5 linked regions of the Cricetulus griseus genome follow. The protein of the gene in region 5 interacts with the protein of the main gene of each other region in a pairwise test. Links are inferred from orthologs where the notes say so. Each region holds a gene or a part of one and is shown on either strand. Other genes may lie near its edges.

Region 1 (5,255 bases), on a different chromosome or scaffold from region 5:
CACGTAAAAGCATTAATAAAGCTGACCAAAAGGCCTTTTATTATCATCACGAACCAACAATTCTAACATACTTCAGTGATAAAATTCTCCTCCCTACTGGTGCTGATAGCTTTCTCTGCTGCATGCCTGCCCCCACTCCCCAGCATGCCGCCGACTCTGAAAGCACAGTGTGGAGGGTAGTTAAAGGTGAGCCCGAGATGAGAGAGACAGTGTTGATTCTCCAGCCACACAGGGAGAGCTGAATTTCACACCTAGGTGCCTTTGCACATCCTGTTCCCTTTCACAGGAACGTTTTTCTTTATTCTTCCACCAGATTTCTATACTGTCATCCATCTCTTTCTTCAAGAAACCCTTCCTGACCCTCACCTGAATCACAGGATTCCTGTGGGCTTGCACAGGCCTCTGAGCACTTCCAAAATGGCAGGTTTCACCCTGGACTAATTTTTGTCTGTTCTTTTTTAACCACTAAACAGCTCCATCAGGGTAAGACTATGGCTTGTTCACCTAGACATGAGAGCTGAAGGAAGTCAAAGTTATTACAGTCAGGAGAACAGGAGATGAAGGGACACTTGGAAGAGACATTAGAAAGGCATAGGGCCTGTGGCAGACCCAGAGTGGACTTCTCTTCTCCTTTGTGGAGGGAGCCCTGGGTGGTTTGGACCTAAGGAACATGGTCCTCCTTGTGTTTCAGCAGAATCCCTCTGGTTGCAGGGTGAAATCGTGTAGCAGAAAAGGTATCCAGGTGAAAAAAGACAATGGCTTGGGTCATGGTATCAACCAAAATGGGGAAAGTGAATTTATTTGACTACAAAAAAAGTACTGGACTTCAAAAAACTTGGGAGACATAATAGGTGGTAAAAAAAAAAAATCTTGAGGTAGGTAGGAGAACAACTGATAATATTTGGCTATTCGCTCATGGGCGCCAACAACTCTCTGGTCTGTTTTGTCACTTGCAAAGTTAGGAGAGGTAATAGAATAGACCCATGAATTTGTCGCGAGGAGACGTAAAGGCTTTAGCACAGGATTTAGTGTGAAATCTATATGTTCAAATGCTATCCTAGAAGCCAAGTTGCTAGCCCCTGGGCGCATCTCTATCACTTACTGGCTGACAGTGACACAGTTTCCAAATCTACAAAGTGGAACAGTACTTTCATTAATACCAACCGCATAAAATTTAATCTGGGAGAGTTCAATAAATGCATTCAAGCTCAGCACGTAGAATAAGGTGCTATCAGGCAGGCACTGCAGGCATGCTAATAAATTACTATGAAAACATCTACACCAGACTGCTTAAGTACTTCCCACCCTAGTGCACTCCACTTTGCAGATGAGAAGCCTACTGTAGTTGGCAGCAAGGTGGCCTCTCTCCAAGAATAAACTGCCTGCCTTCGAGTGGTCGGTGTGCTGTAGACGGAAGCAGAATCGGGCTGTGAGAAGTCGCGGCCCCGCTCGTGTGCTCCCTAACGGAACCTTCCAGCGCGGCGCCGGCGGTTCCAGCCCGGAGCGCCTACAAAGCTAAGAGCTATTTCCGGCACAGGTTTCTGCGTTTCCGCGCAGGTGCGGACAGAGCCCAAAGCGAAAGGAACACCCCTGGTGTTGCCGCTTTCGCCGTCCCGCTCCTCTGAGGCGGCGCGGCTTGCTCTTTGCCAGCTCCTTTCCTTCCTTCCCCACAGAAGCCGCGAGCGTCCATGGCGGGCCTGGAGGTTCTCTTCGCGTCGGCCGCGCCTGCCATCAGCTGCCCGCAGGACGCGCTCGTCTGCTTCCTGCACTGGGAAGTGGTGACAAACGGCTACTATGTCTTGGGCACAGGCGACCAGGTACGCTGCGGAGCAGGCCTGGGTGGAGGGGAGCCCGCAACCAGAGGCCCAGAGGGCTCGCCTGACCCTGCCGAGCCAGGGCCCGAGGTGACGCCGCACTTTGGCGCGCCTGGAGCTGGTGCCAGCAGCTGGCACAGCGTGTGTGTAACCGAAAGGCGTCCCGGCGCTTTCACTCAGGCCGAGTCGTGTGGATCTGACGCCGAGACAGACTAGTAGCTTCCTTAAAGTCCTCATCCACCCGACTTCCCCAAAGCATCTTTATCACACACAGTCATGGCGTGGACTACTCAATGCTACACACCCCATTCAAGTCACACACACACACACACACACACACACACACACACACACACCACACACACAATCACACACACCATTCAAGTCACACGCACACCAAGCACAGCTGTGGTGGTGAGCTTTGACCTCCTCAGCCATATTCTAGAACCCCACACACACACACACACATCACACACACAATCACACACACCATTCAAGTCACACGCACACCAAGCACAGCTGTGGTGGTGAGCTTTGATCTACTCAGCCATATTCTAGAACCCCCTCCCCCCCACACACATACACACACTTAGCACGATGGACCAGCCAGAGCCCACTCACTACTCATCTACAGCACACACACGCCTTCTTTGTGAGTGTTCTTCCCTTAGCTGTCTCCACCAGAATCCAATCTATTCTCCTATCTCCAGATTCTGCCTCTTAACTGATGGGGCCTTGTTGACATCCCCATAGAGGTCCAGTATGCATCACTGATTCTCTGCCCTAGCCTTCTCCTTTTCTCTGCCCCTTCCTTATGACCCTCATGTCTACCTGTGTAGCAGGTTTTTGGGTAAACTGGCCCTGGTCCCCTTACTGCCTTTCATTTCCTATCTGCTCCACCAAAGGAACTCCCAGCCACAATCCCACATACACGTACTTGGAGACTCAAGGACTCCAGGCTTGCCCCTCTATGTTGCTGTCTTGGCACTCAAAATTCAGACCAGTCCTGGAAAGAAGGTCCCCTCACCCCCTGGAACTTACAGAGAGATTTTAAATCTTCCTCTCATTTCTAACTACGGTTCCCAAAACCCTACAATCTTTAGCTTCTTAGATACATTAGAGTCTTGGTATGTTTTCTCTCCTCACACAACTTTATGGACTCCTCCTTTGACACACTTTCAACATTCTGAGCACTTAACCAGGCATAGCCCTGCTGGAGTTCCATTCCTGTCTGTCCTATAAAACTAGGAACTCAGACCACTCTACCCTGTTTACACTTTACCCTCATTAGAAGGAAGCAATACACAAAATTTTTGTTGATTTCTTTCCCCGTTTCCTCCCAAACCTCAAGTAGCTCCCCAGCACTAAAAGATGCAGGATCCAGACATCTTCTGGAAGGACAAGGAGCCTGGGAGATGGGGTTTTGGAAAGTATTGCCTGCTGACCCTGTCTGCCTCCGTACTAAATCATGCATGCCCTTCGAGGGGACAGTGTTTGGGTTCGGACTAGAGTGCTGCCATTTGTTTCTTGTAGCCCCATCTCTTAAAGTCCTCTCAGGGCTCAGGTTGCCCTTGGCCACTCACTGCCAACGAGTGTTCTCTCATTCAGAATAGAAGCCAAAAGAATTTGAGAGGCATCTTTCCTGTTAGTTTATCTAGTAGAGAATTTTTATTTTCCAGTTTAGAGCCAGCAAATCAATAATGCTTGCCAGACATAGAGTGTATTTATTTGTATTGCCTGTCTAGCCGCCTCCTGCCATCCACCCTTCCAGGGGGTGATAACAGGGAAACAAGTATTTAAAGTATGTACTGGACTGTGTAATACCGACTCAGCAGTTAAACAGAATGCTATATTGTCCACTTTCTCTTTGGTTTTGTGTCTGCCACTGTAGAGCAGTGTGTGTAATATTTGATTTGAAGACCAACAGATCCCTTGACTTAAACAAAAATCTGACATTGGTTTGGTCTCTCTATTGGTCAGGGCTACTCTCCATAAGAGCTCCGTAGCTATGTCAGATGGCTTAAGTGGCACGGCATGGAGATGGCCATAGAGACAGAATTGGGCTTTCTGTTATGGGAGTCTGAAGATTATGAAGAAAGGGAAAAGGACCTGTTTGTGTGTGTGGTGTGTTGGTTGGTTGGTTACATTCTAGCCCATTGGCCCTGGGGTGAGCTCAGTAACCATTAAAGGATATTTCTAGCCTCAGAATTTCACCTAGGATGGCAGCTACCCTTACCTTCTTAGGACTGTCTGGAGAAAATCTCCAGCCTGCCCTGCACTGCCCTTCAATAGGTCTCAGCTCCTCTCAGGTCTTAGAGTTATCAACTGAGGGAGTTAAATTATACAAGCATGCTTTGGTCACTTGCCAACCATGGCCTTCTGGGACACTTGATATTATTTTATATCAAGGTGCAGAGGGCGGCCACTTGATGTCTTGGGCCACTTCTGTTTTCTGGGGAACACCGGTCTCACCATGGTGAGATGTCAGCTTTACATGACCCCAGCGATTCTGTCTTGCTCTGGAATGAAAGTGTTGAGGTGGAGAGCAGAACAAGTTGTCTGTATGCCAAGAGAGCATACTAGTGGGACGAATGCTGTACAAGTGGAGGTAAGGGAAAGTCAGAGGTCTTGACAGAATATAGATAAGGCATGTCACCCCATCTTCAAAAGTTACTCCTTAAAACCCACAACACTATAGGAGTTGCCCAGTCTAGGCAAAGGAGTAGTTTCTCGGCAGTGGTTAGTTTCACTTCTGTTTTCTCACTACTCTCATTTCTCTGCTTGAGAATTTCCTGTAGTTTGTCACCTAGCCAAGTCTGATTGGGACTCCTCTGCCAATGGATTTCCAAGCACCAGGGGTGGCCTTCCCTTCATGTCTGGGCCTTTGTCTTTGTCAGTGTTGTCTATCTCTAGCCTAATTCTCCCCCACCGTGTTCTCATGAACACAGCTTCTAGTCAAGCTGTTCTATGTTGACAGTGTAAATTTGTGCTTTTAAAGTTTTTTTTTCATAAATGATATTGAACCATAAGCTATTTTCCAGTTGCCCACTCCCCATGTAAATCCCCACTTCAGCTGTCCCCCAACCCCCCCCCACACACTTTTGTAACCCACAGAGTCCAGTTAGTGCTTCCTGCTGGGATATTGCTTATTTTGTTGACGTGTTCTTATGTAGGTAACTATATCTGCTGTGAGTTCATGAGTGCAATTGCCATGATGTGTCCCAGAGGACAGTGTTTCATGGAATTCCTCCTCATCCTTTGGCTCTTACATTGTTTTTGCATAAACACATATATGTTTTAATGCTATAATTAGATCTAGTGTGTTCTTTCTAATTGCTGTGTTATATACTGCTGTCATTGTATTTTTGCATTTTACCTCTGCTTTGACTGCTCAAGCCCAGGCTGAGATGAAGATCCCCATTGCATATCAGGTCTCCCATG
Region 2 (5,537 bases), on a different chromosome or scaffold from region 5:
CATTAGGGGACTTTTGTTCAGCTTGCTATATGTTATCCACCAGAACAGTGTCAGCAACGAACCAGATCTTAAATTTAAAACTTATTAAATACATGAGCTTAGTGCCAGTATGACTCTAAATAAATGGCTTTCAAACTGGGGAGCACACATCCAAGGAAGGGAGGAGAATACAGAGACTGACGGAGCATTCCAAATATTTAAACCATTGTTTGGTATGTTTTAATACTTTAAAATGAGGTAAATTGTAATAGATGTGTGCACACATACACAACATACAGATGTATAATTTTCATCATACTTACCTAGCACTCAGCTTGTGCTTGCATACTGGTTTAATGACTCTTTGAGATACTTTCTTTTGTTATCCCTATTTTACACATGAAGGAACTAAGGTTAACTGAGTATATCCAAGGACACAGTATTATAGTTAGTGGCAAAGCGAAAACTTTCTGGCTTGCATCTGTGTACTTTATTTAAATTAAATAAGTGTTTTGTTAGGAAAGGGAATGTTTTTATGGATGACATGAACAACCAAAAATGTTTGGTGTCTAATGCTCTATAATGGACCACACAGACAAAGCAGTTCCTAAAGGCATCTTAGATCGTGCTTAGTCTAACACATGTAAAGATTGTGTGCGCATGATTGAAATCCTGTAACTATCCCTAGTATCACAATTGGTTTCCTTTGCCAATTTTGTTGCAGAGGGTGGGGAGGATGTAAAGAATTCCAGACATAAGGAGTTCCAAACCTGCTCATCCACTTTCACTCCAGGCTTATTTGTGGAAATCGTGGTTGGTGGACGCACTAATTCAACAAAAACTACAGCAGTGGTTCTCAACCCTCCTAATGCTGCCCAAAGATCCTTTAATACAGTTCCTAATGTGTGGTGACGCCCCGACCATAAAAAACTATTTTTGTTGCTACTTTACAACTATAGTTTTGCTACTGTTATGAGTTGTAATGTATCTTTCTCCCCCCCCCCCCGTTGGTCTTAGGTGACTCCTTTGAAAAGGTCATTCGACCTCAAAGAGGCCGAGACCCACAGATTGAGAAACTATGAACTAGAAGTTCTGAAAAAAAGAAAAAAAAAAAAAAAACAACAACCTGAAATAAAATTTACTCTAACCCATTTTCTACCCCTCCCTATTTAAACAGTGTGCTTTATATGTTATCCCCACCCCCCTGGTTGGATACATCTCTCTCTCCACAGCGCCTAAGCAAACTCTCGGTGTTGAGGGACTGAGGAGCCAGGGCTCGTCTCACTAACGTTATCTTAGCGCGGGGTTCTAGGTACGCGAAGCAGGTAGTGGAGGCCGTGCGTGGCCAGAGAAGTTTCGAGAAGAGCGGAGCTCTAAGGCTCACAGTTACAAGGAAGTGTGCGGGAGCAGGGTGCGGTAAGCGCAGAGCGAAGATGGCTCGAGGGGGTAGGCGTTGGGAGAACGCGATCGCAGGTGCTCGGCAGCATGGCCGAGCCAGGCGGGGCTGGCAGACGCGTTTGGGTGGCGAAAGGCAAAGCCTTTCTTTCCTGTTCCTTAGGGAGGCGTGGAGGCAGCTTCCGTCCATTCTTCCCGAGAACTTCGCGGACCGCTCCACAGCTCTTTCCCAAGGCTAGCGCGAGTCAGGAAAGTCAGGTTAGGCGACCCAGGCTTGCCCGGGCCCGCCTCTGCGCGCGTCACCTCGGAGCAGAGAAGTGCGCCCCGCAGCCCCGCCCCGGGAGGTCCCCCCAGTGGGTGTGGTCTCCGCCAACGGCCCCGCCCCTCAGGCCTGTCGCGCGGGGATGGGGGCGGGGCAAGGCGATGGGCGGGGCGAGGGAACCGGGAAGAAAGGGCAGGGCGGATGTGCTCGTGCCCGTGTTTGGCGCTTGAGCGAGGGCGCGCCGGTGCGCGCGCAGGAGGGAGGCCAGCGGGGCGGCCGTTGTCGGGTTCGACAGGAGGGGCGGTGAAGTCACCTGCGAGCGTTCGCGCCCGTCGCGTCCCCGTCGCGCCGGCCTCGCGGGGCCCCACACACCGTGCGAAGCTGGGGCCCGGGCACAGGCAGAGTCCGCGGCTGGAGTCGGCGACGAGGACGAGTCGCAGCCTCGGCGCCGCCGCCCGCGCCGGGCCGGGTAGGTGCCGCGGGGGTCGATCGGGACGCGCAGGGCGGCGGCGGGCTGCGGAGGGGGAAGGAAAGTTTGCGGGCGCCTGCTCCCGCGGGCCGGGACCGGCCGCGGCGCGGGGAGGTGTTGGCCCGGGCGGCGGCGGCCGACGCCATGTTGGGGTCTGTGGGAAACGGGGCGCTCCCGGGCGGCTCCCCTCCGGGCTGGCGCTCGGGCTGGAACCGCCTTGGTCCCGCCGCGCCCGTCCGCGGCACGCCGGCCCGAGGGCAGGGACCCGGGACGGCGGCTGGGGACGGGACCCCGCGTCGTGCCCGAAGTTGTGGGGCGCCAGCACTCTGGCCCCCAGATCGTGCGGTCTGAAAACTTCGCAGGCTCTGGGCGTCAGGGGCGCGCTGTGACTTGAGCAGCGTATTTTGTATGACTTTATATGAAAATGGCACCGCAGAAATTGGCTCTGATGGGAGCAGCGGCTTACAAGATATTTAAAGCAATGGCTTACAAGCTATTTGGAGTGTTTAAAGTTTTATGATCTTTTGCTGACTCTTTTTTTTAAACGTTATTAGAGGTGAGATCTGGTTCCCGAAGCTGTTCGGAGTAGCCTTGTATACTCCTAGAATATTAAAGCTGTAAGTTGTGTTCAGTGTGCAGTGGAAATGAAGAAAATTCAGGTTACACCTAAGCAGCAATTCAGACTCCTAGTACGTGAAATTGGTAAATGCCTTCTTTGTTTTTTTTTTTTTTTTTTTTTTTTTTTTTTACCTTGCCTAAGAGACTCATTAAAGAAACATTTAGACATGAACGTTCACTTGAGAAGTTAAGGCATATGTTACTTTCTTAAGAATAAAGTCCAGTATGTTGGCTGTACTCAGCAGACTGGGGCCGGAGGATCCTTGAGTTCGAGGCCAGCCTGGACTACAGAGTGAGCCTGTCAGAATAAACCCCCCTCCAGACCACCCAACCACACAAACAGAATAGGGTGACGTGATCTTGACGTTTCTTTTTTTTTTTTTTTCCACTCTTTTTCCTTTTGGTTCCTTATTGGTGCGTGAGTTTTGGCCTTTATCTCTTTCTGTACTCTTGTAGCTTATGGGGGCCTCGGCTTAATTCAGAATTAACAAAGGTTATTTTTAATTACCGTGGGTCATGATAGCATTGGGAGGTGGATGGTATTAAGTTGCTTGTTTGGAAAGCACATGTAATCGTCCTCCCCCAGACGAAACTGGTGTACAACATGATTAAGCCTAGTCAATGAATATCATTTAAAAAAAAAATAAAGACAGCTTTAAAATTACATTAAATGGGCTAAAAGGCTCTTAATGCAAAAGCCCTAAAATGTGTCGATTTTTACTCTTACTTAAAAAAAACACTCATTTGTGTGTTGGGGGGGGGGCACACATCCTCAGAGCACTTGTGGAGAGGTCAAAACAAATTACCAGAGTTTCTTTTTTCCACCACGTGAGTTATGGGATCCAACTTAGGTGGTTTGGCTTGGGGGCCAGCACTTTTCTTTCTGAGCCACCTTTAGTTATCATTTATTTGTTTGTTTATTTATTTATTTGTGTGTGCACGAGGGTGTGCAGGCAGTCATGTGTCAAGGTGTGGAAGTCAAAGGATAACTTTTGGGAGTTGTTTCTCTCCTTCCACCTTGGGCTGTGAGGCCTGGCCTCAAGTGCCTTAACCCACTGAGCTGTCTCGATGCCCCCTCATTTCATTCTTTAATAGGTAAAAGTACCTTCTTATATTTGTCACCTTCCTTGGTTCTTTAAAAAAATTATTTTACTTTGCTGCATTGTCAGGTCAATTATATCATAAACATTAATTCTTTCACAAAAATTTATTTATTTATTTATTAAGAAAGGAGTTACCTGACTTCGATGTCACAAATCTAGCAGTCAAGCTGATCGTTAAGTGAAGTCTTATACTAATATCCCTATGGGGCCTTCTTTGCCCATCTTGTTTCTTCTTTCCTGTACCTCCTCTTCTGATTTGGATTTAGCTTTCTAGTATAACTGTCTCCCAAGGAGCTGAAAATGCAAGGCTATGCTGTTGAGATTTTTTTCCCCTTGCAAACATTCTGTTAACGCTGGGGTGTTATAGTGGAGCATGCCTGTAATCCCAGCACGTTGAGGCAGGATTGCAGAGTTTGATCTGGGATGCAAAGTGGGAACTTGTCTCAAAACCAAACCCAAACAGAACCAAAACAACCTCTCTCCTGTACTTTTTGAAGCCTTTCTGCCCACATTGTGGTTGTGCTTCCTCTTGTTCCCCACAACTCAGTTCCCTTCCCCCACAGGGTCCTGGAAGCATTGCTTAGCTCTGTGGCATGTCCTTGACAGTGGGCATCGAGTGCGGTACTCTTTGCTTGTCTCTCTCCAGCAAGCTGAGAACATAGCAGATGCTCAGGAAAGGTTTGAATGGATTCCTTGTAAATATGCTTCATGAATTTACTAGATTGTCATTTCTGTGGGACAGTTGTTAAACTTCTGTTGTCTTTCTGCTTCATACTGTGAACTCCATGAAGTCCACAGATTGTGGTCAGACTCTTCCTTTCTAAAAATAATTAACTTTGGTAACTGAACTTTGATGGGGATACAGACTTGAATATTTATGAAATTTCCAATTGGATAATGACTGACATGTAATTGTGATGAGTGGAGAGAAGCTAAGGATGAACTTTGAAAGGATGACATCACTGCTTTAAAGTGTGACTGAATATTTTGCCCTTAATAGAAACATTAATGCCTAGAAAATGAGAAGGTTATGTTTGTGTATATATACCATTCAATTAAACACATTTTGTTGTGGTTTTGTCATAATTGTCTTAGAATTTTGATTCAGAGGCAGTGATCATTGAAAGGTGAATAAATCTGCTTTTCTATTGATAGTCTTTGAGACTCAGCTTTACATACAAGCTCTTTGCTTCTGTAGCAGTCCTCAGGCTGATGTATAAATAAGAATGCTTCCTAAGTGTGCTTTTGCACTGCTAATTTAAGTAGTGAAATTTTTCTAGGTGTTTTATAATTTTGTAAGGACTGTAAAATTTGGATTAATTTCTTGTCCTCACCTAAGATAAGTCTTTTTTTAGTCTGTATATTTGTTTGTTTTTTTGAGACAGGGTCTCACGTAGCCTAGGCTGCCCTCCAGCACCATATGTAGTTGAGGATAACCTTAGGCTCCCAATCTTCATGCCTCTAGTCCTTCCCCTACTGTACCTAATTTATGTTTTTGTTGTTGGTGGTATTTTCCTTTTTTGGGAGAGTGTTTCCTTATGAAGCTCAGGCTGACCTCAAACATCCGAGGTTTCTCAGTCTATAGTGTACACGATTTGAGGAGGACCTGGAAGGAAAATAGAAGGCATTTTAATACTTGCTGTGAGCACACTAGAAAGAAAGCAGCTGGAACTCAGCGCAGACTGGACGAATAGCCTGAGTCCTGCTTGGC
Region 3 (5,434 bases), on a different chromosome or scaffold from region 5:
AAATGGACAGCACCCCTACAAATAGCCACTGGACAATCCCTCTGGAGCTGCCAGGAGGTCTGGTGAATTATTCATCAGAGGTGAGAGCTGGTAACCTCAGGGATGCCCAGCAGTGAACTGTACAGGGGGGTTTAAACTGTGCATGAACAGGAGTTACCATGAGTATCAAATCACTCCAGCATGATGGTGAGATAGGGTAGAAAGGCAAGCCCTTATCAAAGCCTGCTCGGCCTGGAATGTTCTTAGGAAACTTCTAATCTCAGTCCCACCTAGAGTCCTTGGGGAAGGGGAATCTGGAGCAGGAGTAGCCTGACATTGGGATATCTGTCTCCTCCTCCTTCCTCCCCACTATAGGTAGAATGCTGCCTCCAATGCTCTGCTCCCACCCACACCGAAGGGGTTCACCCTCTCTTACCTTCCCTGACACCGATGCCAGCCATCCTGAAAGAGAAGGGACACTGGGTGTAAGCCAAGGAAGAAAGCGCCAGTCTCCCTAAAGGAGCCCTAGTGGACAGCTGAGCGGTCCTTTCCAACCCCCACACCACAATGACTTTTCTAAGGTCAGTCCTGGTGGTCAGTCCCTCAGGCTTGCCATCCCAAACAGACAGATGGGGAGTTGCAGCCTGTGCCCTGTCCATCATTTACAGGAGAAGCACAGGTCCAGAGCAGAAACAATATGCCCAAAGTAACAGCTGAACACCAGAATGGAGACTCCAGACCCCTTAGGTCTCCTTCCACTCAACAAAGCAGCTCTTGGGATACCCTGATTTCCTCTTCTGATGGCCCTGGGCCATCCATCCATCCCCCTTCTTTCTCCCTGCACCTGTACACCTACTTAGCATCCTGGCCCTCAAGCAGGTTGCGGTAAGTGGCGATCTCCTGCTCCAGCCGAGTCTTGATGTCCAGCAGCATGTTATATTCCTGGTTCTGAGCTTCCATCTCACAGCGGAGCTCGCTCAGCTGGCTCTCCAGGCTGCTAATAAGCCCCTGGATCTGCTGCAGCTGTGTGGCATAGCGGCACTCCACCTCTGCCAGAGAGTTCTCCAGCCCGGCTTTCTGGTGGGGTGACAGATGCATAAACCCATTGGGCTAGAAGGCAACCCACTGGAGGGAGAAGAGCAGGAAGGGTGGTAAGGACTGCCTGAGGTGACAGGAATGTGTGAGGTGAGGCTTTACTGGCCATGTGTCACCCAGTAGGGAGAGAGTGACCGTACCATGCTGAGCTGGGACTGCAGCTCGATCTCCAGCCCCTGCATGGTGCGCCTCAGGTCTGTGATCTCCGTCTTGCTGGACTGGATCATTTCTGTGTTGGAAGCTACCTCCTTGTTCAGCTCTTCCGTCTGCAAGTCACACATGAGAAACATGAGCCTCATGGGCCTCCTCAGAGGCCTCTGGAGTGGGAAGGAGGGAGAGAGCAGAGCTGGGGGTGTCAGGCCCACCTTACTGAAGAACCAGGCCTCTGCATCCCGACGGTTTTTCTCCGCAATGGCCTCATATTGTTCCCTCATCTCGGCCAGCATGCGGGTCAAGTCCACCCCAGGTGCAGCGTCCATCTCCACATTGACCTGGCCCGCCAGCTGACTGCTGAACTCTTTCATCTCCTGCAAGGGGTGGGAGTGACAACCATTTAGAGACAAGGCTATAAAGCAGACAAAGAATCGAGAGTCCTGAGGGCTAACTCTGACTGTCTCTAACTCACAATGTGACCTTAGCACATCACACCACCCTATCTCTATTCCCCATTGGAACACATGGACCCCTCAGTTCTGAGGATCTCTCTTGCTCTGGGTCCTAAGAAACAAGGACCTTGAGATAATAAGCCCATGAAGCAAACCAATTCTGCAGTTCACACATGGCTTGGCCTTGGGTCCAGATTACCAGAGATTAGTGCCCCTTCTCTTCCATGGGGCCCCCCAGGTACATTTCTTAATCCCCAAGCCCTCAGAGGACTGTGACAAAAGACTGGCTGTCCTGGGCTTCTTCCTACCACCCTGTCTTGCTGTTACCTCCTCGTGATTCTTCTTCAGGTAGGCCAGCTCCTCATTCAAGTGCTCAATCTGCATCTCCAGGTCGGTCCTGGCCAGGGTCAGCTCGTCTAGCACCCTGCGCAGCCCGTTGATGTCGGCCTCCACACTCTGGCGCAGGGCCAGCTCGTTCTCATACCTGGGGAGGGGAGAGGAGCCAAAGTCAGGAAAGGTGAGGGGCCCAGGTTCTGAGTCATAGAGGAGGAAGGCTAGGTAGAGGGGGTGAAATGGACAGGGGTGGAGAAATGGGAACACACTTGAGCCTGAAGTCATCCGCTGCCAGCCTGGCATTGTCAATCTCCAAGATGACACGCGAGTTGTCAATGGTGGCCGCCAGTATCTGCAGGAGACAGAGTTGTACCTTAGGGCTGCTGCACGACCCCCTTCGCCAACTACTGCCCAGCTTCTCTTCCTGTGTGCATCAGTTGTGCTGGCCCATGCTCCCTTCCCTGTGGCATCTTCAAGGAATGGAAAACTAACGAGGCAGTATTGCCTGGGATTGCCTGGGGGCATGGCTAGTCAAGACCGTGCTGCAATGGATACAGTTGGCTCTGTCAGGTCAGGACTCTCGGGAGACACACTATACCAGCCTACTTGGGCACAGCTCACAGTGGCTGCCTCCTGCGTGCCTTGACAGAGCCCTTCATCTCCAAAACATTGCAGTCATTGGGAACTTGGACAGCAGCTAAGGAACGTGTTTGCCACTAAGGAAAACAGATCCAGTTAGTTAAAAGGGAAAGTGAGGGGGTGGCACAGCCTCCACTGAGTTCCCTGGTCTCCTAAGATCTAGCAATGATCAACAATAAAGACATCCTTGAGGCCTGAAGTAAACAGCCCTGGCATTTAGGACTCTTGAGGTTGTGCCTGAACAGCACACGGGTCACAAAGTTAAAGCAATCAGTTGCAAAAATCCCTGAAAGTTTTTGTGAGGCAGGGAGAAGGAGCTGCTCTCTTTTGTTGCCCTCATTTGCAATCCTGTGTATCCAAATCAGATTCCCAAGACCACTCCCTCCCCTCCCCCAGCACTGCCAAGTGGAACACGTGTGTTCCCACATGTGCCTGGGAAGCAGGTGCATCCCAGCCTTGCCAGGTTACACAGCAGGGAAGGACTCTCTTAGTCAACAGCAATGTTGCTGTTGCATATGTGTACAGGGCACCTACTGCCTGTTTCCCTCTGTCTGACATATATATGAGGACTTACTTTGTCCCGGATCTCTTCCATGGTCTTAAAGTAATGGCTGTAGTCTCGCTCCGGACTGGCTGGGCTCTGCTTCTGGTACCAGTCTCGGATTTTCACCTCCAGCTCCGTGTTAGCCTGCTCCAGGGCACGTACTTTGTCCAGGTAGGAGGCCAGGCGGTCATTGAGGTTCTGCATGGTGATCTTCTCATTGCCAGAGAGGAGACCTCCATCGCCACCACCAAAGTCACCAAAGCCACCACCAAAACCCCCACCAAAGGCTCCACCAAAACCGCTACCAGCACCACCACCAAAACCACAACTCATACCGCCCCCATATCCCCCTCCTGCCCCCGAGGAGACGAACCTAGCAGAAGAAGCAGAGATGCTTCGGCTCCCACCTCCCCCGTAGAGACTCCCTCCACCAAAGCCGCCTCCACCAGCACGGAGGGAACCCCCTCGGGTAGAGCCACCTCCAAAGGTGGAAGAAGTTTGCAAGAATGTGGTGGCCATGGTCAGGCAGCCTGAGCCTTCGTGTCCTTTTCAAGCAGGAGGGACTCTAGCAGGAGCTTCTGAGCTGGGCTGAAACCAGGCTGCAGTGCTGTCGCCCCTAGCCTGGGATTCCTTATATACTGTTTCAAGGGGGTGGGGGCCTTGCCTCCTCCCCCTGAGTGGAGCCAACTCCTCTGCCTTCCAGACAAATACAGCTGCCTGCACACCTCCACAGGGCTCGCTTGTGGTGAGTTTTTCTTTTCTTTTTTTTTTTTCTTAATGCAACAAGAGAGATGATTCAGAATTAATGGGGTTTTGCTCTAGGCCATGGTTTTAACACTTGGATTACAGGTTCATTTCTCACTCCAGGAAGGAGAAGAGAGCCACAAGAGCAAACCCTCAGCATAGCACCCAAGTTCCCTCATGTCCCATCCCGTTAGAGCAGCCAGGCCAGCTCTGCCTCCCACCCCAGCCCACTGCTGGCATGTGAGCCTCACCCCAGGTAGAAAGCTTCCTGCTTTCAGTTTCTCCCACCACTGCTCTGTACTACCTACTCAAACGCCCTATACATAGCCTTCGGGACATGGAAGTCCCCGGGAATGAGAACACAGGTGACCACAGTGCAGGCTAATAGGGTCTCAAGTCAACTTCCAAACGAGTTGACCAAAAAAGCCGGTGCCTGTCCCTCTCTCCCATCCCTGATACCTGGGCATGCTCTCTCCTCTCACAGCCCTCCCACCACCCCAATTCCAGAAGTCCCTCCTACCTCTTCAGTTCCCCCCCCAGCCCAGGGTCCTGGCTAGTTCACAAAAGCCCAGAAGGCTCAGGCTGACAGGAGTCTGATTGATGGTCCTGTCACCAGCCAACTGCACATGTCACTGAACCTCTGCTTGCTCCCAAGACGCGTTGGGGCAAACCTCTGCAGATAAGACCCAGGCGAGTTCCAGAAAGTCCCCCGCCTTCTTCAGCAAGAGACATGTCGCTGCTTAGCAGGGGCCAGATTAACCCCCATTTGCCTTGTCAGCTGCTGCCAGCTGGGGAGGGGCTGAGCTAGAGGCTCTGCTCTGCGTGCCTAAGTACAGGGAGGAAGGCGGAGGCAGGAAGGGGGGCTGGCAAGCAGGTGGAACACATCAGAGCTCAGAGGCCAAGGAATCAGTCACTGCAATACTGAGGCCAAAAAGGACAGGGTCTTCTGCCACCAGCTCTAACAGCCCTATTTCTCTAAGACAATGGCACTGTGGGCAGTGCCACCCAGACTGGAGAGAATCCACAGGAGGGCTTCTAATGGAGAGCTACAATACGAGAAAGTGAATAGGGCTCCAGCGTTCCTTGGGCCTGTGTTTAAACCCCATTTCTATGAATGACTCCTGTGAAGATCTGTACTCGTCAGTTTTCAAGGCTCAGCCTCTTTGTGTATAGGACACTCACTTTATGGGACATGCTGAGACTCAAGATTCCCATTCTGCCTCTCCTGACTCCCCATTATCCATCTGAGGCAGGGTGATAGCTGCAGGTCTGGCACCTGCACCTCCTGAGACCCCCTCCAGGAAAAAACGCTTCCCTCGGACTTGGAACACTCTCAGGCTCGTCAGCTCCAGCTAGCCATCGGATGACCCTTCTTTTTGCTGTAACAGGATAATCCTCTGCTTCTGCCCCATACGTTCATGACTGACAAAGTACTTCTGTACCCACAATCCCCTCTAATCCCATGACACAGAGCACAACTGGGACCCAAGTTTCA
Region 4 (5,458 bases), on a different chromosome or scaffold from region 5:
AATGTGCTGCAAACCTGTTTCCTCCCAATTACAGCAAGACTGTCAGCCTCAGTAGTGATGTTGTCATTTCTGGGTGGGATCGTGCCCAATACCAGAACCAAAAGGGTTGAGTTGGTGGCTCTGAAGGGCCTCACTGATAAGCAGGGTAGCTTTGGAGCTGTGTACCTACAACTCCCTCCGAGAAAGGGAGCAAGTATAACAGCACTTCATTAGCAGAGTTTTCCTTTGAACTGGAGCCTAATGGATTCTTAACTGGGTGGCAGCTTCTAGGACATCTCAAGCTATGTTGGGGCCTGTTTTCCATCTGTATTCGCAAATCACGTGGCTTTGATTCTTGAATTCAGTGAAGCAAGACCTCTGTTGCTGGGAGCAGAAGAGAATTTGGACCCAGCTTTTGGCACCTTCTAAGACCCTCAGCAAATCCAAACCTGCCACTGAAAAAATGGAGGCAACCCACCTAACACAGACTCTGGAGGAAGGTTAATAAGCTATTTTGCCCTGATTAGTATTGACGTCATTGCTCCATGCCTATGGATGTCCCATCTGCTTACTCCCCCGCCCCCAGCAGGTTCAGGAATCTCAGGCCATAATAGGGTCAGCCCTAGTCACACTGAAGGTCATCTATAAGAGCTCTTGGCACACGCCTTTAATTCCAGCACTCTGCAGGAAAAAGCAGGTGGATCTCCTGAGCTTGAGGCCAATGTGGTCTGCAGAGCAAGTTCCAGGACAGCCAGGGCTACACAGAGAAACACTCCCAAAAATAAAATCCAATCACTACTATTGACTCCCTGTCCACCTAGCTGATCTGGGTCTACCTAATAGGGATGATGGTGTTTAGGACCTCGAGTGTAAAGACCAGTGCTCACTATGTCCCTGACAGGTGCATTTTATTTTTGTTTTGAGACAGTGTCTGTCTATGTAGCTTTGGCTGTCAGGGTGTTCCCTGTATGGACAATTGTGGCCTTGAACTTCCAAGTACTGGGACTAAAGAATTAAACCACCATGCCCAGTTTGATTTTTTGAAGCGAGATCTCTCTACATAGCCCTGGCTGTCCTGGAAAGTTCTATGTAGACCAAGCTGGCCTCAAACTCAGAGATCCACCTGTCTCTGCCACTCAAATGTTGGGATTAAAGGTGTGCGCCATCATGCGGGACTTGATGCTGGTTTTTTGGGGGGTGGGGAGGGGTTGTTTTTGTTTTCCTAACAATTTGTGGAGGGCCTAAAAGAGACAGGATTTCATTTAATTCACACAGGTTTCACACTTGGCTCGGTACTGAGCCAGGCGGGCTGGAGGAAGAGAAGCTGTGCATTAGTTAAGGTTCCTGCTCCGGTGGAGCTTACATTCCAATTTTCTATTTCGTCACAATCCATCGTAGAGGCGAGGAAAGCTGGGAGGGAATAGGCGTGCGGCTGTCAAGGAGCTGAGCTGCGACTTACAAGCTGCCGGGAATCTCACCGACGGAGACTGTGAGCCGTTACTCCCACTCAGAGGCTAGGTCTTCATTTTGTGTGGCTCTGGTCCCCGATTCTCAAGAATTCAGGGCTAAAGCAGCCCGCTCAACTCCAGAGCAAACCCCGACACAACTGGGACAGTGGAGAAGCAGGAAGGCAGAGACGGCCAACAAGCCATTGCGCCCCGAGCTACGGCCGTGGGCGGGCCTCGAAGGGCCTGGCCCCGCCCTCTGGAGGCAGCCCTGCTTCTGCGCAGGCGCAGAGAGCGCGTTCTCGCCCCGCGGCACCGCCCACATCCTGGGGACGTCGGCGGCGCGCGACGTGCTTCGCCGGATAAATGCGGTGGCGCCGGTCGTAGGAGCGCTTCAGTCCTGAGCGCCAAGACGTCTGGGCGTTTGGTGTCGTCAGGTTCTGCGCCTGAGCCCTCCCCTGTACCTGCCTGTGCCATGGCGGACGAAGGGAAGTCATACAACGGTTAGTTCGGGGCCTCGGGTCGGGAGGCGGCGCGGTGGGCCGGAGTGGGCGGCCCCGGCCTAGGCCGCAAGCCCGGGGGCGGGAGGCCGCGAGGAGTTCTGTGTCCGTGGGCAGCGGTGGCCGCGCGGGCAAGGATGGGGCGCCGCGGGACACAGGGGCTCCAGAGTCGCCCGGATTCTGGCGTTGGAGGACCTGTGGCTCAGGGTGGGGTGACAAGATTCCTTTGAACTTTGAGGGTGGTTGATGCCTGTCAATTGAGTTTGGCGGCCCGACTCGTCCTTTAAATGTGAGTCAGTAGTACCTTGTTCGTGGGCTGCTTTGGTGCCCTATTTTTTTTTTTCTTTTAACGCGATCAGTTGGTCTTTCAGCTTGCTCCTTAATGTTTACCAGTTTCCTAGTTCTAACAATTACCTTGATGGGTTAATTCATAGTGGTGTTTAGGACGGCATGACAGGTGATTGAATCTGGAGTTGGCTTTGCTAACCCCGACGGAGTTAAACTTTCAGGCCTTGTTTTCCGCCTCTTTCATGTGGGTATCTTGTCTTCCCAAGTTTGCGTGCGTGCGTGCGTGCGTGCGTGTGTGTGTGTGTGTGTGTGTGTGTGTGTGTGTGTGTGTATGAGATAATTTCTGTCAAGTGGCTGGAAGTGAAGATTTTTCAGTGAACCTTAATTGCACTGTGTTTTCACTAGAGTCACTTGGTGAGGGTCATTGTTTACAGGACGATAGATATGAGGTAGATTTCTTTGGAAGTCATGAACCTTTTTGTGTTTGTGTGGTGCTGATTTATCCAGGGTCTGAAAAATCCTCAGCCCAGTGAACCTTTATTTTAACTAAAATATAATTATATGGTGGGTGGCAGTGGTGCACACTTTTAATCCCAGCACTCGGGAGGCAGAGGCAGGCGGATCTGTGAGTTCCAGACCAGCCTGGTCTACAAGAGCTAGTTCCAGGACAGCCTCCAAAGCCACAGAGAAACCTTGCCTGGAAAAATAAAACAAAACAAAAAACAAACAAACAACATGTATGTATGTATGTATGTGTGTATGTATGTATGTATGTATGTATGTACGTGTTTTAACAGGATCTCCCTCCAGTTACTTTCATGTCTACCCACTCCCCAAATTCATACAACCTGAGTCCATTTAGTGTAGCTAGCATGTACTTATTTTTAAGGCTAACCATTTGGCCTTGGATAACCATTTAGGGAGTTCATCCCCGTTGAAGACTAATTCTCCCTTATAGGGCCAGTCTTAGTACCCCAGGCTGGCCTCATAGTCAGTCTTTCAGTGCAAGTCTCCCAAGTTTGGTATTGTAGGCACGTACCACGAGACTTATTATTTTGTGCTAGATGAACACTAGGCCTTGCATACACCAGGCAATCCCCTCCCATGGAGCTAAATTCTCATCCTTTTTGTTGTTGTTTTGAGATGGTCTCACTAAGTTGCCCAGTCTGACTTGAAGTTTCAAATTCTCCTGCCTCAACCTCAGTCTGTGTGTGTGTGTGTGAAGGATAAAGGTAAGCACTTTACCAGCTGAGCTGATCCTCAGTCTCCTTTTGTGTTAGTGCCTACATGTATATACATATAAACCTATACACAACGTCTGGCTTTGAACTCTACAAAGAGGAGGGTGACCTTGAGCCCCTCTGATCCTCTTGCCTTAAAAACAGTATACTGTGGCCAGGCGTTGGTGGTTCACGCCTTTAATCCCAGCACTCGGGATCTCTGTGAGTTCGAGACTTGCCTGGTCTACAAGAACTAGTTTCAGGACAGCCTCCAAAGCCACAGAGAAGCCCTGTCTTGAAAAACCAAAAAAGAAAAAATTTTAAAAAACATAAACACAGTATTTTACTGCACTTGGTTTCATTTATTTACTTTTTTTTCTTTTTCTTTCTTTTTTTTTTTTCAATATGTAGCTCTGACTGGAACTCACTGTATAGACCAAGATGAGGCTGGCCTTGAAAACTCACAGAGATCTGCCTGCCTATGTCCAGCTCATTTTCCTTTTTTTTGTTTTTTTTGTTTGTTTGTTTTTTGTTTTTTTTTCTTTCCCCTGAGACAGGGTTTCTCTGTGTAATAGCCCTGGCTGTCTGGAACTCACTTTGTACACCAGGCTGGCCTTGAACTCTCAGAGATCTGCTTCGGACACATGTGTATTAGAAAACACTCCAGGACCCTAATGTGGAACTGCCAGCTGATCCTGCATCTAGAAGTCCCTTGAGGTGCAGTCACTTCTGCTCACAGAAATGAGCATTGCCCAAATTCAGAAGGACAGTTTGAGAGCAAGGAGGTGGTGGTTGTTACTAGCTTATGTAGACCAGGCTGGTTTCTAACTCACAGAAAATCCACTTACCTCTGCCTCCCGAGTGATGGGATTAAAGGTGTGAGCCACTACCATCTGGCTATTATGTGGTTTTAAAATAGGTCATATTTGTAAGTTTTTTTTTTCATTTTTTGAGACAGGATCATGTAGTCCAGGATGGCTTTGAACTTGTGTAATTGAGGCCTCCACTTCCCATTTGCTGAGATTACAGTTGTTTCCCACATCTGGCTCTGTGGCCCTCATTTGTATGTATAGGCAAAAGATCAAAAATTTCAAGTGGTTTTCAGGGGTGCCATGTTTTACTTTTTATGTAGGAACTAGTTTCTGGTTCACTTGTTTTCTTTCAAAATTTTTTTCTTAAACATTTATTTAGGCCCAGCAGTGCTGGCACATGCCTTTAGTCCCAGCACTTTGGGAAGCAGAGGCAGGTGGATCTTTGTGAGTTAAGAGGCCAGCCTGGTCTACAGAGCAAGTTCCAGGACAACCTCCAAAGCAATACAGAGAAACCCTGTCTTGGAAAAAAAGAAAATTATTATGTATATAGTGTTCTGTCTGCATTCTAGAAGAGGGAATCAAATCCCTTTATAGATGGTTGTAAGCCACCATATGGTTGCTGGGAATTGAATTCAGTATCTCTGAAAGAACAGTCGGTACTCTTAACCTCTGAGCCATCTCTCTAGCCCTTCACTTTAATGATTTTTGACAATTTTATACATATACACAATGTGTTGTGATATTTTCACCTTTCATTACTTTTTCTTTTAAAGATTTAGTTTTCTGTCTGGTCCTTGCAGAGCCCAGAAGAAGGTATTGGGTCCCCTAGAACTACAAAGGCTACCTCCACATAGACACCTGTGCCCTGGCCAGGGGAAAGAACTTTTTATAGGTCATAAACATCAAAAAACAAGTTATTAGAAAGCTGTAGGGGGCTGAAGAGATGAGTTAAGAGCACTGACTACTCTTCCAGAGGACCAGCTTTGATTTCCCAGCATTCACATTGCAGAGCACAGTTGGGAGCTGCCATGTGGGTGCTAGGAACCAATTCTGGGACCTAATCATTGAGCCATCTCTCCAGCCTCTAACCCACAGATTTCTAAGATTTATATGAACTTGTGGAGAGAGACTCCCATCCCCCACACCCTTTAAACTTTATTTTGTTTTAAGACAGGATCTCATGTAGCTCAGGTTGATGTTAAATTAGTATGTAG
Region 5 (3,583 bases):
ACACAATATTCTTTCACCAAAGCTTGTAAAACACTATGGTATCTCTCTTCTGGAGCCTAGAGGTGAAAGCAAGAATACTGGAATTGAACCAGGTTCCCTGATCTCAATGAAATAATGGAGACGAGCGTGGCAAAAGCCAATGACGTCACTTAACCATGAAAAGACAACCTTTTTAGTTTTGCAGTGCTTGCTATTTATTGAAAACAATGCCATTGCCTTTTCCAGGTACTAGAGAGGATCTGGGCTGAATGCCTGTTGGCTCATTTTTTATTTTAGTACTACTTGTCCACATGTACACATCTGTGAGGCTGCTGCAAATCTGAAAGAAAAATGACAGCTGTGCAAAAGCGATGCATACAGGAAACGAAATGTCAACATTTCAACAGTCAGGCAGGCACATCAGGCTCCTGCAGCAATCTGGTCCGGCAGAGGAGGAACCTGGAAGTAGGTACAGAACTAACCAGGCTGTAAGAATGGCCCCTTCTAGGAGGGTTGGTGAACTGTCCAAATGAGAGTCTGAATAGATGTAGCCAACTCCATCATCTTCTTCCTGGTCCATATCTTGAAAAGTGGATGGCTGCAGATGAGATGCAGTGGGGGGTGGTGGTGGGGGGGGGTGAGGTGACAGGCATCCACTTCTGGCAGATGTAGATGGCGATCCATCAGAAGCCAGCGGCAGGAATGCAGGTGGTCTGACGAGTTCTAACACAGGCCTGGACAATGGCTGGAGCTCAAAACACAGTTCAGATTAGAAAGGTGCCCGGATTGGTTAAAATTGAACACTGTGAACCTCAGAGCCAGGCCCAGGCCCAACTCAAGCACTCGTAGCAGGTAATTGGCACAAAGACAAGCACTAAAAGGGATGAAGGAGCGAAGTGATTGGCAGGGAAGAGAATGGCAATGCAAAGGGGGGCACGGAGGCAGCAGGAGTAGCGGTGGGGGTAGGGAGGACGCAGCGTGCAGGGTCCTCCTCATGTAGGCCTAAGGGGGCTCGGGGCCTAGCAATCAACCGCTTCACAGTCGTCGTCATCATCATCATCATCATCTTCGTCGTCATACCAGCCAAAACACTGCTTCATCTCTTCAACAAACGCGCGATAATCACAGAGAATGGCGCTATCTGTCTGGATGTACGGCACCACCCAATCCTCGGCTTTCCCGGAGAGGAGGCTGATCAGGAATGCCACTTTCATGGCGTCGTTGCAGAAGCGGTCCTCATTCACAAGCATGTAGGACATCGTCTGCACAATAAACTCGGGGAGCCGGGCGTTCTCGCCATTAAACGGTGAGGGGAAGGGCACCGGACAGCTGGGCGGACGTACCTGGCGCAGCAGAATGGCCCGCTCACACACCAGCAGCCGCAGCTGTTTCATGAGCCGGTTGTTCTCGATGCACAGGTCGCGGTGTCGCACCAGCAGCGCGTGCAGAAGCAACACCAGCTCGTCCACCATGGTGACTCGCTTGGCAGGTCTCGGGCTCTCGGGCTCGGATCGGCTCCGCGGAGCTGCTCAAGGAGGCCGTAGAGGAAGTGCGTGTCCTCAGAGGAGTGCTGACCCTGGGCACTGCGCAGAGGGGGTCTAGCTGGTGGCGGAAGCTCCACCCACAAGGTCACTCTGGCAGCCAATGCGCCAGCGCACTGCGGTGAGAAAGGCGTGGCGGAGGGGAGTGCTGGTGGCGTGGGGGTGTGGCCAGGGTGGGACTGACGGACCGAGTGGACGTGGCCCAGGAGGAGGAAGGCGTGACCAAGGGAGCATCGCCCCGGGCCTCTGTCAATTCCCCCAGCCTGATGAAGAAACGCTGGGGGAGCCAAGCCTGCCACAGTGGAGGGCTGTGCGAGCATAGAAGCTCAGCACTCAGGGCTGGCCTGCTTCAGCTTAAACTTCTCTGCAGCCGACCTGTTCATCCAATACAGTGTTCCTCGGTGGGCCTGCAGCCATCAACATTTTTTTAGAGTAATGCTTTCTTAACACATTTCCTTGCTTGTTTAAATTTCACCCAGAGAAATAACACTGACACTGAGGGTCATACTGCGGGAGATCATTTGAGTTTAGAGACTTCAAGACTTGCAAGGGGTGCTTTCATTAAATACATAAGTAATTGTCAACAGGGGCTTCTCTTCAGTTGAGACAATTTCACCAAAAGATCTCCAAATCTGCACAGAGTATCCATTTGCCAACATTCTATCTTTGATTCTTTCCATATTCCTGTTATCAGTGCCTTTGTTCCTAAGTTATAAACTGTGATGAGCTCTGTAAAATAACTTTGTCTGCCTATTTTAAACGTCATTAGTTGTCGATAACTAAGTTTGGTCCAGGATCCTTGAGCTGATAGCTATTGGGTCTGCTTTTTAAAATACATCTCCACATTCAGTCACTTCCGGGCATCTCTGCTACCTCGATCCCAGCCTTCTTTCACGGTCTGGTCTGCTACATCTAATCCCTTAGCTGTCATTCTTCCCCTTTTCTGCATATTCTCTAGAATAGCCTCAGAACACTTTTAGAATGTGAGTTAGAGCCTTTCACTCCCCATTTCGACGTTCTCCAGCAGTTTTTCCCTCTCTGCTGCTCTGAATAAAAAGCAAACCCTTGGTCGTAACATACAAGGACCTCCTTCTGCATGCCCTTTTTACATGACCTCCTGTTGTCCTAATCTCTGCCTCGCCTGCTAATTCCTGCACACATCAAGCAGATCTCGCCTAATCTCAGAGCCTTTGTCCCTTCTAGCTATCTTTCCCCCTTTACTTGCCTACCTCATTTTATACTACTTTGAGAAAGGGCTTCCCAAACTGTCTCATCTATATGTGAATTGTCTGTCGGCATGTACAGCTCCAACCCTTACTTCACTTACCTACGTAGTATTTATTATATTAAATATCATCAGGTGCGTCCCCTTTGAAATGTCAGTCAGTGCAGCAAAGGGGCTTAGCTTTGCCAGCTGCTCTGTCCCTAATGCCTGCAAACATGCCTAGCCCACAGGAGTAACTCCAGATATCCGGCAAAGGAAAGGATCTTGAGGCACAGGTGTTGAGATAAAAATTAAAAGAGGTGACTTCACAGTATGTCCAGAAACACCCTCCAATTGCCCAGTATGTTCTAGCTCTGACCATAAAACAATCTCCCATGAAAAATGATGGCTGATGAAATAAAAGCAATGAAACAAATCCTCACAAGCAGTCTTATTTAGTTAGTCCTTTAAAATAAAATTGAACTGCCATCCGCGGAAGTAGGAGTCTAGCAAGTCAAGAGAAGAAAAGCAGGGCCATAGCTCAAGTATAGAGAAAAGGAAGGCCCACACTGGCAAAAAAAGAAACCAAGGAAAAAGAGAGGGGAGAGGGAATATAAGCCCTTGTCTTACTTATCCTGCGCTATGAACTCTCCCACTAGACAAGAAACTCCTTGAAATACTGGAGAGGGTAGAGGTGTGATAGACAAGACTAACGATACATGAAGAAGCCTGAAAGAAATCTGCTAGCTTGTAAACTAAATAAAAAATATAATACATAAAATGGAATTACTGATAGACAGTGTTACTCCCTGAAAACATGAGTTATTAAATGAAAATCTCAGTGCTGGTCATGGGATAA

The links.
Region 1: the proteins of protein LDOC1-like (region 5) and Psmf1 interact in binary tests that used the Homo sapiens proteins (3 or more experiments, as listed by UniProt). The two-hybrid records come from large-scale screens. The link is inferred for Cricetulus griseus from reciprocal best matches to the Homo sapiens genes LDOC1 and PSMF1.
Region 2: the proteins of protein LDOC1-like (region 5) and pleckstrin homology domain-containing family F member 2 interact in binary tests that used the Homo sapiens proteins (3 or more experiments, as listed by UniProt). The two-hybrid records come from large-scale screens. The link is inferred for Cricetulus griseus from reciprocal best matches to the Homo sapiens genes LDOC1 and PLEKHF2.
Region 3: the proteins of protein LDOC1-like (region 5) and Krt15 interact in a two-hybrid assay, tested with the Homo sapiens proteins (2 studies listed by BioGRID and IntAct). The two-hybrid records come from large-scale screens. The link is inferred for Cricetulus griseus from reciprocal best matches to the Homo sapiens genes LDOC1 and KRT15.
Region 4: the proteins of protein LDOC1-like (region 5) and Nxf1 interact in binary tests that used the Homo sapiens proteins (3 or more experiments, as listed by UniProt). The two-hybrid records come from large-scale screens. The link is inferred for Cricetulus griseus from reciprocal best matches to the Homo sapiens genes LDOC1 and NXF1.

Annotation. Positions count from the first base shown.
Region 1 is NC_048599.1:28,279,457-28,284,711, forward strand, and holds the start of Psmf1 (proteasome inhibitor PI31 subunit), read left to right. Parts: upstream 1-1,541; 5' UTR 1,542-1,688; coding exon 1,689-1,817; intron 1,818-5,255. UniProt on the Homo sapiens protein: Plays an important role in control of proteasome function. Inhibits the hydrolysis of protein and peptide substrates by the 20S proteasome. Also inhibits the activation of the proteasome by the proteasome regulatory proteins PA700 and PA28.
Region 2 is NC_048595.1:125,129,956-125,135,492, reverse strand, and holds the start of pleckstrin homology domain-containing family F member 2, read left to right. Parts: upstream 1-1,823; 5' UTR 1,824-2,105; intron 2,106-5,537. UniProt on the Homo sapiens protein: May play a role in early endosome fusion upstream of RAB5, hence regulating receptor trafficking and fluid-phase transport. Enhances cellular sensitivity to TNF-induced apoptosis.
Region 3 is NC_048600.1:112,451,778-112,457,211, reverse strand, and holds the start of Krt15 (keratin, type I cytoskeletal 15), read right to left. Parts: upstream 3,715-5,434; coding exon 3,226-3,714; intron 2,365-3,225; coding exon 2,282-2,364; intron 2,164-2,281; coding exon 2,007-2,163; intron 1,602-2,006; coding exon 1,440-1,601; intron 1,341-1,439; coding exon 1,215-1,340; intron 1,057-1,214; coding exon 836-1,056; intron 442-835; coding exon 416-441; coding exon of another isoform or gene 406-415; intron 1-405.
Region 4 is NC_048596.1:51,335,370-51,340,827, reverse strand, and holds the start of Nxf1 (nuclear RNA export factor 1), read left to right. Parts: upstream 1-1,744; 5' UTR 1,745-1,899; coding exon 1,900-1,927; intron 1,928-5,458.
Region 5 is NC_048604.1:11,336,083-11,339,665, forward strand, and holds protein LDOC1-like, read right to left. Parts: upstream 1,452-3,583; coding exon 999-1,451; downstream 1-998. UniProt on the Homo sapiens protein: May have an important role in the development and/or progression of some cancers.